Linked DNA regions of Caenorhabditis elegans. The protein of the gene in region 2 purifies or fractionates together with the protein of the main gene of each other region. This does not show direct contact. Each region holds a gene or a part of one and is shown on either strand. Other genes may lie near its edges.

Evidence for each region.
Region 1: the proteins of ran-4 (region 2) and glrx-10 fractionate together in Caenorhabditis elegans (co-fractionation; one large-scale study listed by BioGRID). This does not show direct contact.
Region 3: the proteins of ran-4 (region 2) and sec-24.2 fractionate together in Caenorhabditis elegans (co-fractionation; one large-scale study listed by BioGRID). This does not show direct contact.

What each region holds. Positions count from the first base shown.
Region 1 is NC_003279.8:1,047,639-1,051,227, reverse strand, and holds glrx-10 (Glutaredoxin-1), read right to left. Parts: upstream 1,633-3,589; 5' UTR 1,626-1,632; coding exon 1,542-1,625; intron 824-1,541; coding exon 590-823; 3' UTR 501-589; downstream 1-500. Other genes in the region: Y34D9A.8 (Low-density lipoprotein receptor domain class A), read left to right, coding at 99-304; Y34D9A.7 (PSP proline-rich domain-containing protein), read right to left, coding at 3,042-3,272.
Region 2 is NC_003279.8:8,589,069-8,592,903, forward strand, and holds ran-4 (putative nuclear transport factor 2), read left to right. Parts: upstream 1-2,146; 5' UTR 2,147-2,148; coding exon 2,149-2,245; intron 2,246-2,286; coding exon 2,287-2,378; intron 2,379-2,421; coding exon 2,422-2,520; intron 2,521-2,565; coding exon 2,566-2,679; 3' UTR 2,680-2,910; downstream 2,911-3,835. Other genes in the region: tmem-208 (Transmembrane protein 208), read left to right, coding at 3,024-3,116, 3,167-3,284, 3,339-3,451, 3,548-3,733. UniProt on the Caenorhabditis elegans protein: Facilitates protein transport into the nucleus. Could be part of a multicomponent system of cytosolic factors that assemble at the pore complex during nuclear import.
Region 3 is NC_003282.8:12,355,202-12,362,587, reverse strand, and holds sec-24.2 (uncharacterized protein), read left to right. Parts: upstream 1-1,795; 5' UTR 1,796-1,818; coding exon 1,819-2,013; intron 2,014-2,077; coding exon 2,078-2,266; intron 2,267-2,313; coding exon 2,314-2,625; intron 2,626-2,669; coding exon 2,670-2,830; intron 2,831-3,135; coding exon 3,136-3,365; intron 3,366-3,423; coding exon 3,424-3,533; intron 3,534-3,585; coding exon 3,586-4,195; intron 4,196-4,562; coding exon 4,563-5,179; intron 5,180-5,229; coding exon 5,230-5,538; intron 5,539-5,582; coding exon 5,583-5,686; intron 5,687-6,185; coding exon 6,186-6,303; 3' UTR 6,304-6,886; downstream 6,887-7,386. Other genes in the region: ZC518.8 (Glutathione S-transferase), read left to right, coding at 680-700, 741-824; best-22 (Bestrophin homolog), read right to left, coding at 7,095-7,198.

The DNA.
Region 1 (3,589 bases), 7.5 Mb from region 2:
AGTAAATCTCATGGTATGCGCCAAAAATTAGCCAAACTTCGCAACACACCGAATTTTACGCGCATATTCATCAAAAACCTTTTTTTTTTAATTTTCAGGCACCGTCACAATCCAATACTCGCACATTTTCTTCGCCTTTGTCGCGTTTTTCGTTCTCTCGGTTGCCGTAGTCGCTGTGATTCGTCGGCGATCACGACAAAAATCCGGATTTCGAAATCGACGTGGCGGCGGGCACGGGGGCCCGAGCATACTGCAACAGGATTCCGACGAAGACGATATTCTAATCAGTTCTATGTATTCTTGAATTTCGTTTTTTTTTTGGCACGTGGGGTGCCAGGCTGTCCCATTACGGTTTGATCTACAAAAAATGCGGGAATTTTTTGCCCAGAAAAATGTGAGAACTCTGCGTCTCTTCTCCCGCATTTTTTGTAGATCAGCGTAGATCAAGCCGCAATGAGACACTCTGCTAACACCACGTGTTTTGGCTGTACTACTTTTCTCTCTTTTCTCACTTTTATCTCGGGTTGTGTCATTGAATTATGAAGAAAAAAATAAATCAAATACATAAAAATTAATGGCGATTCAAATTCTATAGAGCTCCGGTTTCCTTGAGCAGTGCGGCGAGTTTTCCGTTCTTGGCTCCGGCCGCTGTGTCGTCACCGCCGCCGAAGAACTTGCCGTTGATGAAGACACGTGGCACCGAGCGGGCTCCGGTTAGAGAGCCAAGATAATCCTGAATCTCATTGCAATCCTTGCGCTCGTCGATTTCGATCCATTGCAGAGCGTCGGGCTTCACGTTGACCGATTCAAGAGCAGCACGAGCCTGAAAAATTGGGGTTTTTTAATTTTTCTCAAAAAATTATTTTAAAAAATGTATCCGAGACTCAAAAATTTTGCAAAAAAAAGATTTTGAAAATGGATAATATTTTTCTCAATTTTCACGGATTTCTGGCTTCCCTCATAAATTGAAATGGAAGAGTTTTTGCCGAACTAGGCCATTTGGCTCGGCCATATCTGGGGTAGATTTACGGCGCGTTGCGTGTCGCGTCGCGGCTCGATTTCAGTTGTAAAACTAAATGTATTTGTCCGTGTGGAGTACACGACACTTTCCCACGCGTTGTCCGGCAGCCGATTGTCAATGGAGCGCGAAAAATTCAATGAGGAATGCCAGAACCCCGTGACAGATTTTTTCGCAAATTATTGATTTTTGCCGTTGTCTTCAATTTTCCGAAAATTTCTCAAAAAAAATCGCTACGAGACCCAAAATTTCTGCATTTTCAGAAAAATACAGAAATGTTTGATTTTTAAGTTAAATTGAATTTGCAAAATTTCATACTGGTGCAACTGCGCTCTGTTGCACACGATTTTTTAAAATAATTTTTTTTGGAATAAATTTTTCAAAAAAATTGGGAAATTTCGCTGAAAATCCAGAAAAAAGCAAATTTTTTAGGACAAAATTGTTCAGAAAAATTTTTTTTTTTTTTTGATGACAAAAAGCAATTTTCGAGGAAAATTCAAATTTTTCAGAAAAATTGTGTTACCTTATGGCAGTACGGGCAGTACGATTTGCTGAATACGACAACTTTGGAAGATTGGAGAAGTCCGTCGACAAAGGCTTTTGACATGGTTTTTCTGAAATTTTTTGGTGTTTTTTCTCAAATTTTTGTTGAAAAAAAAAGGCAATGAAGTATAAGAAAAGCGTAGAGACAATTTGAATTTGAAAAAAATTGGGGAAAAAAAAATTAGAAATCACATTATCATCAAATAAATAATATATATATATATATATTAAATTTACAAAAACAAAATTCTGCGATATTATATAAAAAGGGAAAACATAGGCTTTAAAAGCAGCAAAAACTGAAGAAAATGATGATAAAAATGAGAGTGGAAATAGTGTATGGAAATGAGAGAGTGGCGAGAGAAAAAGAGAAACGGCGGCGACAATGACGTAAGAATCATGACAAATAGTGTTATTAGGCGAGGAAAATTCGGGAAAAAATACAGTTGTGAAATACAGAAATTTATAAAAAAAATTTTAAAGAAATTTCGAAATTACCGCCGTGCGGTGGAGCACAAATGCATTTTTGATATTCGATTAAAAAAAAATTTTTTTTTAATTTTTGGGCTTTCTAAAGCTAAATGATTTTTTTTAACTTTAAGGAGTTTTTAAAAAATTTAAAAAAAGGCCTTGCAAATGCGCTTCATCGCAAATTTGATGGTAGAGATGAAAAATTGGAGAATTTGAAATTTTCACGTGGTGTCAGAATGCCTCATTTCGATTTGATCTACTTTGATCTACAAAAAATGCGCGGGGACTGATTTCGCATGGTTAAGAAAGCGCTGACGTCACAACATTTTTGGGCGAAAAACTCCCGCATTTTTTGTAGATCAAACCGTCGATGGGACAGCCCCTGGCACCACGTGAATTTTGGGAAAAAAAATTTTTAAAAGGTTTTTTTAAACGCTTTTTATTTTAGACAAATCACTTTTTTTTAATTTGAAAATTAGTTTTTTTGCACCAAAAAAATTTCAAAAATCGGAAAATTTTGAATTTTTGGGATCACTTTTACTTAAAAAAAAACTCGTTAATTCGGAAAATTTTACGATTTTTCTGAAAAAACTCTGCAAATGCGCTCCATCGCGAATTTGCTGGTAGAGATGAAAAATTGGAGAATTTGAATTTTTGGCGGTACTTTTTGCCGAGTTTTTGAGAGAATTCATCAACTTTTCACGAAAAATTGATATTTTTAACGCTTTTTCTGATGAAAATTGCAAAAAAAACCTTTAAAAATTGGGCTAATAACACTTTTTTCAATTAGAAAATTAAAATTTTTGGGATAATTTTTTCCTTTAAAAATCCCATTAATTTGGAAAATGTTACGCTTTTTATGAAAAAAAAATTCAAAAAAAAAATTCTGCAAATGCGCTCCACTGCAAATTTGTCAACCATGTGAAATTTTAATTTTTAGGATAATTTTAGGATAAATTTAGGCTAATTTTAAAGTCGAAAATCCAAAAAAAAAAAAAAAATCAATAAATTATTCCTTCTTCTTCATCTCATCATCTCCACTATTTCTTCCAGTGATCCCTTTCAAAGTACTCATAATTTTTTTGAAAATGCCACGTGGCTTCTCCTCCTCTTTCGCCTCGAATGGCACAATGCCGACGGAAAACGCTTCGAGCGATGGTACAGTATCCTCAATCCACGTACCCGTGACGTCACGGCGGGAGAAGATCGGGGTGCCGATGAATTCCGAAATTGATTCTCCCTGTGGAAAAATATTGTTATTTTTTGGAAATATATCAATTTTTGAAATATATCGACTTTTGAATCAGGTGGGTGGGCGGAAAACGATTTTTTCCGGCAAATCGGAAAATTGCCGGAATTGTAAATTTCCCGCAAATCGGCAAACTGGGAATTTGCCGGTATTCAACAAAATTCCGGCAATCGATTTTCTTATCCGTTTTTTTTTTTTGGAAAAATATGTTTTCTGAAAAGAAAAAATCGATAATCTGGAATTACATATATTGAAAAATATTGATTTCACCGGAAAAAAAATTTGGAAAAATTTTGGAAAGAAAAAAT
Region 2 (3,835 bases):
TATTTTTATGATTTCTTCTGACTTTGAAGAGAAACAAAATCGGATTCAGATAAATTTCGAAAATTCTTGATTAACTCGGATTAAATGTCTCCTGACAATTGCACAACGAGCAAAACAGATGAAGGGTAGAAGAAGAAAGAGAATTCGTAAGTAAAGAGAATCGAGAAGAGAATAGAAACTGACATAAAAAGTTAGAAGGTTTTATGATTAACATATATCGCATGTTTCTTCGTGTATCGAGAACAGTTTTTTCTCTCTTTCAAATGGAATTTTGAGAGCGAGAAAATTGGCAAATATTATTATTTTTCGTACATGTGAATAGTTAAGAGCTCTCTCCTATAAGAGTATATTTAACTCGACAGGAGGGGTTACTGTACCCATGTACATATTTCTGCGTTGCGTGGCCGCGAATGTGAAAAAACTCGGCCACATTCATGAAAATTTTAATTAAAGGTTTAAATTAAATCACTCATATGGTCAAATTGGCGAACATCATAGTTAACATTTTCAAAATTTGCTATACGTTTTCGTATTCAGTGACAATTACGTTGCTTTTTCTACAAGTTTTATATTTGAACTACGTTCCAATAATTTGTATTTGAACGTTGTATGAACCTGCAAGATGCTCGGAATTACTAAAAATAAAATCTTTAGAAAATCTGGCAGTTTTCCAAAATGTGACTGAGATTTTTGAAAAAAGCTCACATATTCTTCTAAGGCGATTTCACAACTTTTACAGGCTAAAATGTTTTATCTTGGATGGGATTTTCCTTTTGAGAAAGATGTAATTAATACTGTCAAAAATCAAGACCAAAAACTTTAAAAAAATTTTGATTCTCGAACTATTACACAAGCTGGGTAAATCGACACATAGTTAGAGGTTCACATAAATTTTCTTCCATTTTTAGAAAAAAATTTGGGAGTTTTAAAGCTTGCTCAAATTCAGTCAGCAAAATGGTATACAATTTAGTTTTAAAATGTTTGGCTTACTTATTTTCCTTTCAATTACAAAAATCTACATTTGAAAACTAACTGAGTATATGTATCGCTCATAGAATTTTGATAATCATGTGAGAAGCAGTATGTAATGAGTTCGGAATTGCTTGCATTAATTTTGTCAATGAACTGTTACCAAGGTAACCATAAATGTGACTGGATGAGTTTGATGTAATGAGCTCTCGAAAATTGATATCATTTCAGTTCTGGATGATGTGAAAATATAATAGTAACGGTTCTTTATTTTCAGAAAACGTTGGCTTCAAAAGACTGGTCAGGTGCCGAAAAGGGAAGAGTGAAAGAACATACATATATGGTGTTCGCTAAGGCATGAGGATGCGCAGAGATGGAAAATTATTTCAAGTTTCTATAAATTACAGAAAATTGATTTTTGAAATGCCAACATTACGGAGTAAGAATAAAGTTTAACTTCTTATTCAATTGGTAGAATGGAAAGAAATAAAAAATGGAGCAACAACAAAAGAGGAACATAATTTCAGTGGTTTTGTCGTTATTTTGTTGCTTTTCCAGCTCTGTTTTCCATTTTGGCGAGCTCAAAGAGACATAAAAACAGAGCCAACCAACTCTTTTTTCTCTGCGCCTCTTCAACAAAAAGAGTGACGACAAGGCGATTTCTCTGCTCATAACGTGTTCTCTCTCGTTTACACACTCTCTCGCTTTCTGTGCAGTAATCGCGCTCCGCTGGATTATGCTACAAAATGTGCGCGCGATGCTGGCACCTTGCCATTTTATTCTGATTTTCCAATTTATTTAGGCATTTTTATTTTTTTTAATCGGTTTTCTCTTGTGAGGAATCAAATAATTCATAATTATTTTTAATTAAACTTCCCAAGAACGAACAAAACGCAGGAAGACAATACTGTTCTTTCGAAAACTGAAACATGAGGCCGAGGGTTTAAACTTTAAAAACTAAAAAAAAACAATTTGGTTGCTGTTTATTTTTCTCAATGCGAGCAAGACCACTGCTCATCTAACAACTAATTTTCAAAATTTATTGAGACAACCCATCTCGAGTAAATATATAATTCAATTGTTTCGAAAATTATCGTATTCTTCGTTGCTTTTTCCTACCTATCTTATTTATTTTTACTCTTTTTCAATTATTTTTCCCAATTTGTCGTTTTTAAAGGAATGAGCTTCAATCCTGATTACGAAAGTGTTGCAAAGGCCTTCATTCAACATTACTACTCAAAGTTCGATGTTGGCGATGGAATGAGTCGTGCTCAAGGTATTTCGTCTGAAAAAAACAATAAACTTAGTGAATTTCAGGACTCTCCGATTTGTACGACCCAGAAAACTCTTACATGACTTTTGAAGGACAGCAAGCGAAAGGCCGTGACGGAATTCTCCAAAAGTTCACGGTTTGTGCAAAAGTACGAGAGTTCAATAACGAAACACTTTTAGACTCTCGGATTCACAAAAATTCAACGAGCGATCACTGTGATTGACTCTCAGCCTCTGTATGATGGATCAATTCAAGTGATGGTTCTTGGTCAGCTCAAGGTAAGTAGAAGTAGTTTTCAAAAAAACCGAAAAAAAATTATTCAGACCGACGAAGATCCAATCAATCCCTTCTCGCAAGTCTTTATTCTCCGTCCAAACAATCAGGGTTCCTACTTCATCGGAAACGAGATCTTCCGACTTGACTTGCACAACAATTAGATATCAATTCGTCCACTTTCCTATCAAAATGTGTCCCCGTATTGAACAATTTTTCAAGAACTGAATTTTCACCAAATTGCTTAAATATCTATTTCAACCCGGCTTTTTCCATGTTTCTAAATCGGTTTCTTTCCCCACACAGTTTCGTGTCGTTTTACTATTTCGCACAATTTCAAACTTCTAGTTTGCAAATCGGTTCAAACTAAAGAATGAAGTTTTTATCATTTTCTTTCCGAGATATCGAGAAAATTTTGTTTAATTCGTTATTATTAGTGGTTTTTCAACCTTTACAATACCTTTGACTTTTTCAGCAATGACCTCAAAAATATAAAAATTAAATACAGATGGTGAAACAAGCAACAAAAGGGCAGAAAGAGATCTATGAGGAGAATCAGAAGACTGTCACCACTTATAGTGTGGCTAGCACGATTAGCATGGTAAACATTTGTAATTTCACATTTCAACGATTTTTTAAAAATTGTTTTAGGCAATCTACTATTCATCGTGTATGTTTCTGAGCCAGTGCTCTTCCACCGATTATGTATTTTTTGCTGTCTCAGCGCTCGTGCAGATCTTTGCTATTCTTTTCATGAAATCTTTAGCTAGTAAGTTTGTCTTACCCATTAATTTTTTGTATTAATCTGAAATTATGATTTTAGAAGCAAAGCTTGACGATAAAGGACATGTTTTGGATGCTGGTGCCGATTTGAACGATCCAGAAGCATTCGGAGAATACTGTAAAGACGCCATTATTCTGACAGTCATTATTCAAGTTAGTTTTTGCAAAAAAAAAGTGTGGGAAAGTGCGCATTAATAGTTCAAAAATGAAATATTCTATCTTCAAATGTATAATTTACTCTGTTCCCAGATCATCTCACTCTATTCTACATACGGATTCCTTTTGCTCCTCGCCTTTCCTGGAGCAGCCACATACAAATTTGTTGCTGGATTCCTTCTACCATGGTTGACCGCTGGATCAGACTCAGATGAAATGGATGACAAGAAACAGAAGAAATTGGACAGAAGAAGAGAAAAAGTCGTGTACAGACGTTAAATTATAACTTCTAGAAAACAATGTTCCCTAAGTCACTTCAAATTTTAAATTATAATCGTATTTATTTATTGCATACTTGTAATGTTTATCTATTCAAATATT
Region 3 (7,386 bases), on a different chromosome or scaffold from region 2:
AATCATCCGTATCTAATTTCGGTGTTGATAAAATCTTGAAAACTTACACCGACCGACAAAAGTACTAACAGGTAGGTTAGAAAAAGTTAAAAAATAATGAATGATGCTCTGTCTGTGTCCGTGGTCGACAATGTACACGGCAGATGGCGGGCCCGCCGCGAAAAATCGATATTGAAGCGACCGATGATGATTTCATCAGAGATACACGCTGGCCACTGGCATAACCACATTTTTAATTTTTTTTTTTTGAAATTATTAAAGTCAACAGATAGTTTTAATTTATGAATTTATTTTATTTTAATTTTAAAATTTTGAATTTCAGTTTAAAAAATTAAAACCGTTTTTATGTTGATCTAAATAGTAATTTTATTTAATTAAATTTTCAAAATGTGATTTTAAAATTATTAAAAGGTAAGTTTGAGTTTTTCTAACTAAATTGTGTGGAATTTCTCTCGAGAATTGACACAAGATACATTTAAATGACACTTTTTCGGTTCAAAAAGTACCTTTTTAACACTCTGACCATTTAAAATACCGGTCATCCGCCAGAAGTGATTGTTTGGCTGAAATAGTAACAAAATATTGTTATTTTAAGAAACACAATTGGAGAACGGTGTCCGCTCTCACTCTGCGGTGGTGGCGGTCGCTCCAATAGAGGCTTGGCCGGGCGAACGCGGCGATGCCTGCGTATCTAACTACGGTATGCATTCAATGTTTTCTGCCAACCGCACTTTTTACAGAATCCAGGAACACCAGTTTCGGGGGAAGCTTTCACATTCGGAAACCTTTATCAAATTGACAATTTTTCATTTATATTACACTAAAACACTCAAAACACCCTCCATTATCGATTTTTGATCCAATTGCTGAGTTGGAACTTTCTTCTCACTTACTAATAAAACCTGTGTTGAACGCTATGAAAATTATTTAACATCTTGCTGATCTTCTCTCGCTTTGTTCATACGAGGGCCTCCCTCTCGGCGATATTCTTCCACCTCTTCTCCTATTTTTCGTACAGTAAATGTTCTTTTTTGTTCCGCTCCTCTGAATTATTTCAAGGATTACGTGGAAATTGAGAGTGAGAGTGAAGAGTAAAAGAGAAAGCGAGAAAACAGTGATTTTATTGATTTCAGCGCAAAATCCACGTTTCACAATGAAGCAGAAACCGACGACGCCAATGTGTGGCGAGAGAAGAAGGCAAAATGAAAAAGAATTTCCAGCGAGGCAAAGAGAAAGAGCGCGAGACGCTAGTGTCTGTGTGCATCGCGCGCTTGAGGTCGCCTTCCATGGCGTAATTCTTCGTGTTCAATGAGATACTCGAGCAAAATCAGAAAATATTGTCATAAATATTTTTGTTTACGTTGTAAAATCTATTCTAAAGATCGCCGGTGAGAAGAGAGTCGCGAAATTTCGAAGCGTTGCGAAGTTAGGCAAATTTCAAGAGCAATTAATTATTAAACGCTATAAACTTTGCTGAAAATGAAAATAATGACTTTAAAAACTGAAGTGAACATTTAAACGATATTTGCGCCAAAAATAAATTATATTTGTTCAGCAGTATGCTGGTTTTTCGCGCAAAAAAAATTAGAAAAAAATGTGATCACTGATTTTCTCTAGTTGTGCATTTGTTCGTCATTCTGTTTGCACCCATCTAAATCTACCGTACTCTCTGAAGTTATTGATTAAATTTCTTTCGCCACGTTCATTCGTCTCGTCAGCTAAATATTTATCTACCGTTGTGAACTTGTTTTATTTTGTTCTTTTCTCGCAATATAATTTCATTATACAATTTCAGCGGGTTACACGAGCTATCGACGGATGTCGAATATACCGACAGCGCCGGGAAACGTTGGATTTCCGCAGGCGTACGGTCAAAACCAGAATCAACAATATCAACACGTCCAACAATTCAGTCAGTTTTCTCAACCATCTGCGGCTCCGTTAAATAATGCTCCTCCCAATTATGCAGCCAATCCGTTTCCTTTTCCGACTGCAACGACTTCGCAAGAGCCGGTATGTATTGATTCTCATCTTTACTTTCATATTTCCATTTCCTTCCTTAATTTTCTATTTTCAGGTGAAACCCGTATCTCAAATCCCAAATGGAGCACCAAGTTATCAATATAACCATGCTGCGCCAAATTATCCAACTGCAGCTTCAGCTTTTCCAGCTCATTCTGCAGGATTTTCTCATCAACCACCGTCCTTTTCACCCGCTACTCAGCCTTCTATGAACGGCCATCATGCTCCACCACCACCAGCTGTGGTATGGTTAATACTGCATATACAGAAGAATTGAATGTTTTATTTCAGTCCCGACCGCCAGCGTTTCCAACTCCACCACCATCAGTTGGTTCAGCAGCTCCAAGTATTCAGCCTCCGATCCCATCTGCACTTGCTTCAGCCCGACCTGCTCCATTTCCTGCTGCTCAACCTCCACCGGCACCAACTCCAACGCCTTCTTATCAGCAACAAATGGCTCCACGGCCTCAAGCACCAGCTGCTTATCCTCCGGCTTCACAGCAACAAGGATATCCTCCCCAGCCACAGCAAAATTCACAGTATGGTCAACCACAAGTCCCACAACCTCAAATGCAAAATATGAATCAGCAATTTGGACAAATGGTTTATTCATATTTGTTATTTCCCCGTATAAAGTTGATTTTCAGAACATGAGCGGAGCTCCTGGTCCTCAGCAACAAATGGGCGGGTATCGCAATGATATAATTGATCTGATTGCTGAAAGAAATGTTCAACAACTTGGTTTTGAAGATATCGAGATTCAGATTCCTCAACAAGTCGCGAATCCGAATGCTCATGTTGATCCAAAGTGAGGATTTTCTCTTGAAGAAGGAATTCTGTTTGTATAAATAAACTCAAAATGTGGCCGAATGGACGAATTTCGTAGTGAGACTTCTCAAAAATGCCTTCGCTACTGGCTGATATCAGCTAAAATCTCGAATCGCAGCTGTCGGAATTTGACTTTTATTTAGTTTAAATCCTTTATTGCATATTTTGATCGATTATCTCGCATCAAGAAATTGGTTCATCTGACCAAATTTTGAGTCTATACAAGCAAAAATCCAGAATCGTTACTATTGCAGATATTAGAAATATTAATAATTTTCTCTTCAGTATTTTCCGCTCAACACTCGCCCAAGTTCCACAAACAGAAGAACTACTGAAAAAGAGTCGATTACCATTTGCAATAACACTTCATCCGTTCCGAGATGTTAAGAATCTCAATATTATACAAACATCGAATATTGTACGTTGTCGGTATTGTCGGACATATATTAATCCATATGTATATCTTCCTGATCATCGACACTGGAAATGCAATCTCTGTAATAGAAATAACGACCGTATGTTGACTGAAAAATGTGAAATTGAGAAAATGCGAAAACCATTTTTTGTTTTCAGTGCCTGATGATTTCTGCTGGGACCCAGTGACAAAAGCATTCGGAGATCCTCGAAACAGACCGGAAATTCAAAATGCGACGGTTGAATTTATTGCTCCATCGGAATACATGGTATTTTCATATTTTAAACGATGTTTTTCTAAATTTAAACAAGCGATTTCAGTTACGTCCACCTCAACCTGCTGTCTATGTATTCGTGATTGATATTAGTGCTGCAGCAATTCAATCAGGCTATTTACACACATTTGCCGAGCAACTTCTCATCAATATAGATCAAATGCCAGGAGATGATCGTTCTCAAGTGTGCTTCATTGCTGTCGATCAATGCTTGCATTTCTTCTCATTTTCTAGTAATAAGCGGTATCCGAATGAAATGATTGTAGACGATATCGATGACGCTTTTCTTCCATCAGTCACATCACTGCTTGTTCCTATGAAGAAATTCAAAGATACAATTCGAACTTTTATCAAGCAACTTCCCGAATTCTACTCTCAAATCGGCCCAACTTCAAATGGAAATTGCCTCGGATCTGCATTGAAGCTCGCGCAGAGCATGATACAAGAAGTTGGAGGAAGGATATCAATCTTCCAAGTCAGCCTACCAAATCTTGGATTAGGAGCACTGAAAAGCAGAGAAGAATCGACGGAAGGTGGTCAGAATTTGGGGCCAGCAACCGATTTCTACAAAGCTCTATCGTTAGAGTGCACCGGATCGCAGATTTGCCTTGATCTGTTTATGTTCAACACGCAATATGCTGATTTGGCAACTCTTTGTAGGTTTTTTTGGAGAATTCCTTTTATTGGTGAGGGGATGCTGTCAAATTTTTTAAAAACGAAAAACTGACATTTTTCAGATTCGGTGTATCAAAAAACCTCTGCAAATACAGTTTTTATCTTGATACCTGGAAAATTAAAAAAAAAAATCAAACAGTTAATAAATCGTAGTTAGATCGATTTTCCAAAATTTTTTTTCTCGATTTTAAGGTGTTAATTTGTAGATGCTGAATCCGAAAAAATTCCAGTTTTTCGTTAAAAAAATGTAGAAAATGTCTGAAACACCACAAATCCGGGGCAGCTTTCAAATTGTCTGTCAAATTTGAAAGTTAAATTCAAAATGATTGAAAATAATTCCATTTTCAGCTGAAATTGCAAAGTTCTCGACAGGATGTGTCTACCATTTCCCGAACTACAACTATCGAAATGATATCCATCAAGTAAAACGATTCGAACGGACTCTCACTCGATATTTGACACGAAAACTCGGATTTGAAGCAGTTCTTCGTATTCGAACGTCTCGTGGCCTCGCTCTAACCGGTTTCTACGGAAACTTCTTCGTCCGATCTCCAGATCTTTTGGCACTTGCCAACGTGAATCCAGATTCTGCACTTGCGGCTCAAGTGACACTCGAAGAGAAGCTTCCGCAATATGTATGCTTCCAGTCAGCACTACTCTATACATCGAGTAAAGGTGATCGTCGTATTCGAGTACATACAATGTGCCTTCCAACAACTGGTGATCTACTTCAACTTTACAATAATTTTGATCTGAAAGCTACGGTATCCTATCTGGCTAAAATTGGAGTAGAACGATCTATGACTGGAAGTTCACTTGCTGATTCAAGAGAAGCACTTGTAAATGCAGTTGTCGACAGTGTTGGAGCATATCAGAAGGCTGTATCGAGAGGAAGTGGAATGCTTGTTCCACGTGTCGGTCATCTTCGGCTCTTCCCAAGTTATGTGCTGGCTATGCTCAAACATGTAAGCCTTGATTTGTAAAAACTAAATAAATTTAAATAATTAATTTTCAGCCAGCATTCTCCTCGTCTCGTGGCATCCGCCTAGATGAACGAGCCGGCGCAATGTTGATGATGCGATTCAGTCCATTGGACCAAATTCTGTCTGACATTTATCCACGTCTCTATCGGCTCAACGAACTCGCCTCAATGCCAGAAGATCAGTCGCCACCAGCATTACCACTATCATTCGAGCATATCAGTCGTGGAGGTGTCTATCTGATGATAACTGGTACTATTGCCTTTGTCTACGTGGCTTCATCCGCAGATCCAGGTTTCCTGGTTAATGTTTTCGGAACTTCTACGTATAATGATATTGATGAGGTGAGATTTCAATTGAATAGTTTTAAAAACATTTTAAATTACAGTATTCCCTTCTGGAAAGAGATAATGAATTGTCGAGAAGAGTGCACGCGTTCTTCAAGCAAGTCACACAATTCCGATTCTATCTGGGACCAATAATAACGATTAAGTAAGTCTTTAATTTAACATTTATTGAAAAAAAAGTTTTTATTGATTTTCTAAATTTTTTTGCCAAATAAAAACTCAGAGCCGTTTGAAAAAATTTGCGATTTTCGATCTCAACACAACCAAGTATTTGTTTAAATGAAAAAGGATATACGCTTTTTAAAATTACTACTGTATTTTTTAAAGGCTACTCCAAACTCTATGTTTTGAGCGTGGTATACGTTTTTACACATTTCTAAAGAATTTATCGTATAGTTTGTGCAAATGTGTAAAATAACTTAAGATTTAAGAAACGGGTGAAAAACGTATTGTTATCAGCTACAGTACTCCCTAAAGGCGCATGCTTTGATTTGAATTTGAGGACGCTTCGAGACCGGGTATCGTATTTTGAAACATAAATCTTTGTAGAGTTTTGCTTTGAAAAATCTGAAATATCTCTTGAAAAGTTTCACTCAAAGCTTTGATGGAAAAATCAGATTTGCTCAAAAAATTAATTTTTGCAGAGAACACTCGCCTCTCCGTGACGTGTTTGTACGGCGACTTGTCGATGATCGGTCAGAATCAACACATTCATATGTAGAATTCCTGCAGCATTTGAAACGAGAGATTAGTGGTAATTAGTTGATCAATTTTCATCCTCCATGCCGTTCCCATCATCAGTCAGTTCATCCGTGTGACATATCCATTCCCTCTTTTTTGTTCCCGTTTCCCAACAGTGTCCCATGTCTTTTTTTGCTTTGGTGTTTTTTCTTTCTCCGTAATTATTATTATTATTGTTCTTATTTTCTCTTTTTTTTTTGAAAATTCCGTTCTTTCTTCAATGTGCTCGAGTTGAACGGATATGGGTTTATCAATTGATTTTGTGTTTTTTCTTTCTAGTTGTGATTATTCTCCCCGTCTCTTGAAAATCCTCTAAATATTTCAACCATTTTTGGCCCTGCCTCACCATACATTTTATTTGTCGCCCGTCTTCCAAAATTCTTCCAAAAATCGATAAAGTGATAAATACCAAAGTGTATTTCTAATTATTATTATTATCATTTTTCCTTCCCCTCAAATTTCCTGTTCAATCATCCAGCCGACCCCCGTTAGGATTTTAATGTTACTTTTTTCTTGGTTTTTCAAAATAGCAATATTTATTACGATTTTTTGTTGCTTTTTGCACTTTTGTAGCAAAAACTCATGTGAACAGTTTTATTATCAAGTTTTTTTTCCAAGGATCTATGGTTTTTGAGTTGAAAAAACATTGAATTTTGAAACAAAAAACCAAAACTATTATACACAAAAATAAATACTCGTTATGATTTTCCGGCTGATTGGAAAAGACATAAATAACCGGATCAATGAGACAAATATCACAGAGCTTGCGGAATTATATAATGGGGGGTCTCAGTTGGAGGGGGAAATATTGTTTAATGTCGAGATGTTGTCTGTTGTTCTTCTGGTGGAAATACGGCAATTGAATGTGGATGCACTTGATTTGGATTCGATGTGGCAACGTTCATTTCAATGTCACCTGAAAAAGATTATGCTCAATATTCAGAAATTGCTCGAATATTGTAGAATCAACGAAAAAGGATGGTGGTGCGGTAGAGCGCAGTTGCACGAGGAGTATTTTTGAAAAAAAGTTAATTACTAATTATTCATTCTGCAAGCAAAAAAATAATTTTGGTTCCTTGAAAATCGAAAAAAACCAAGCTTTCA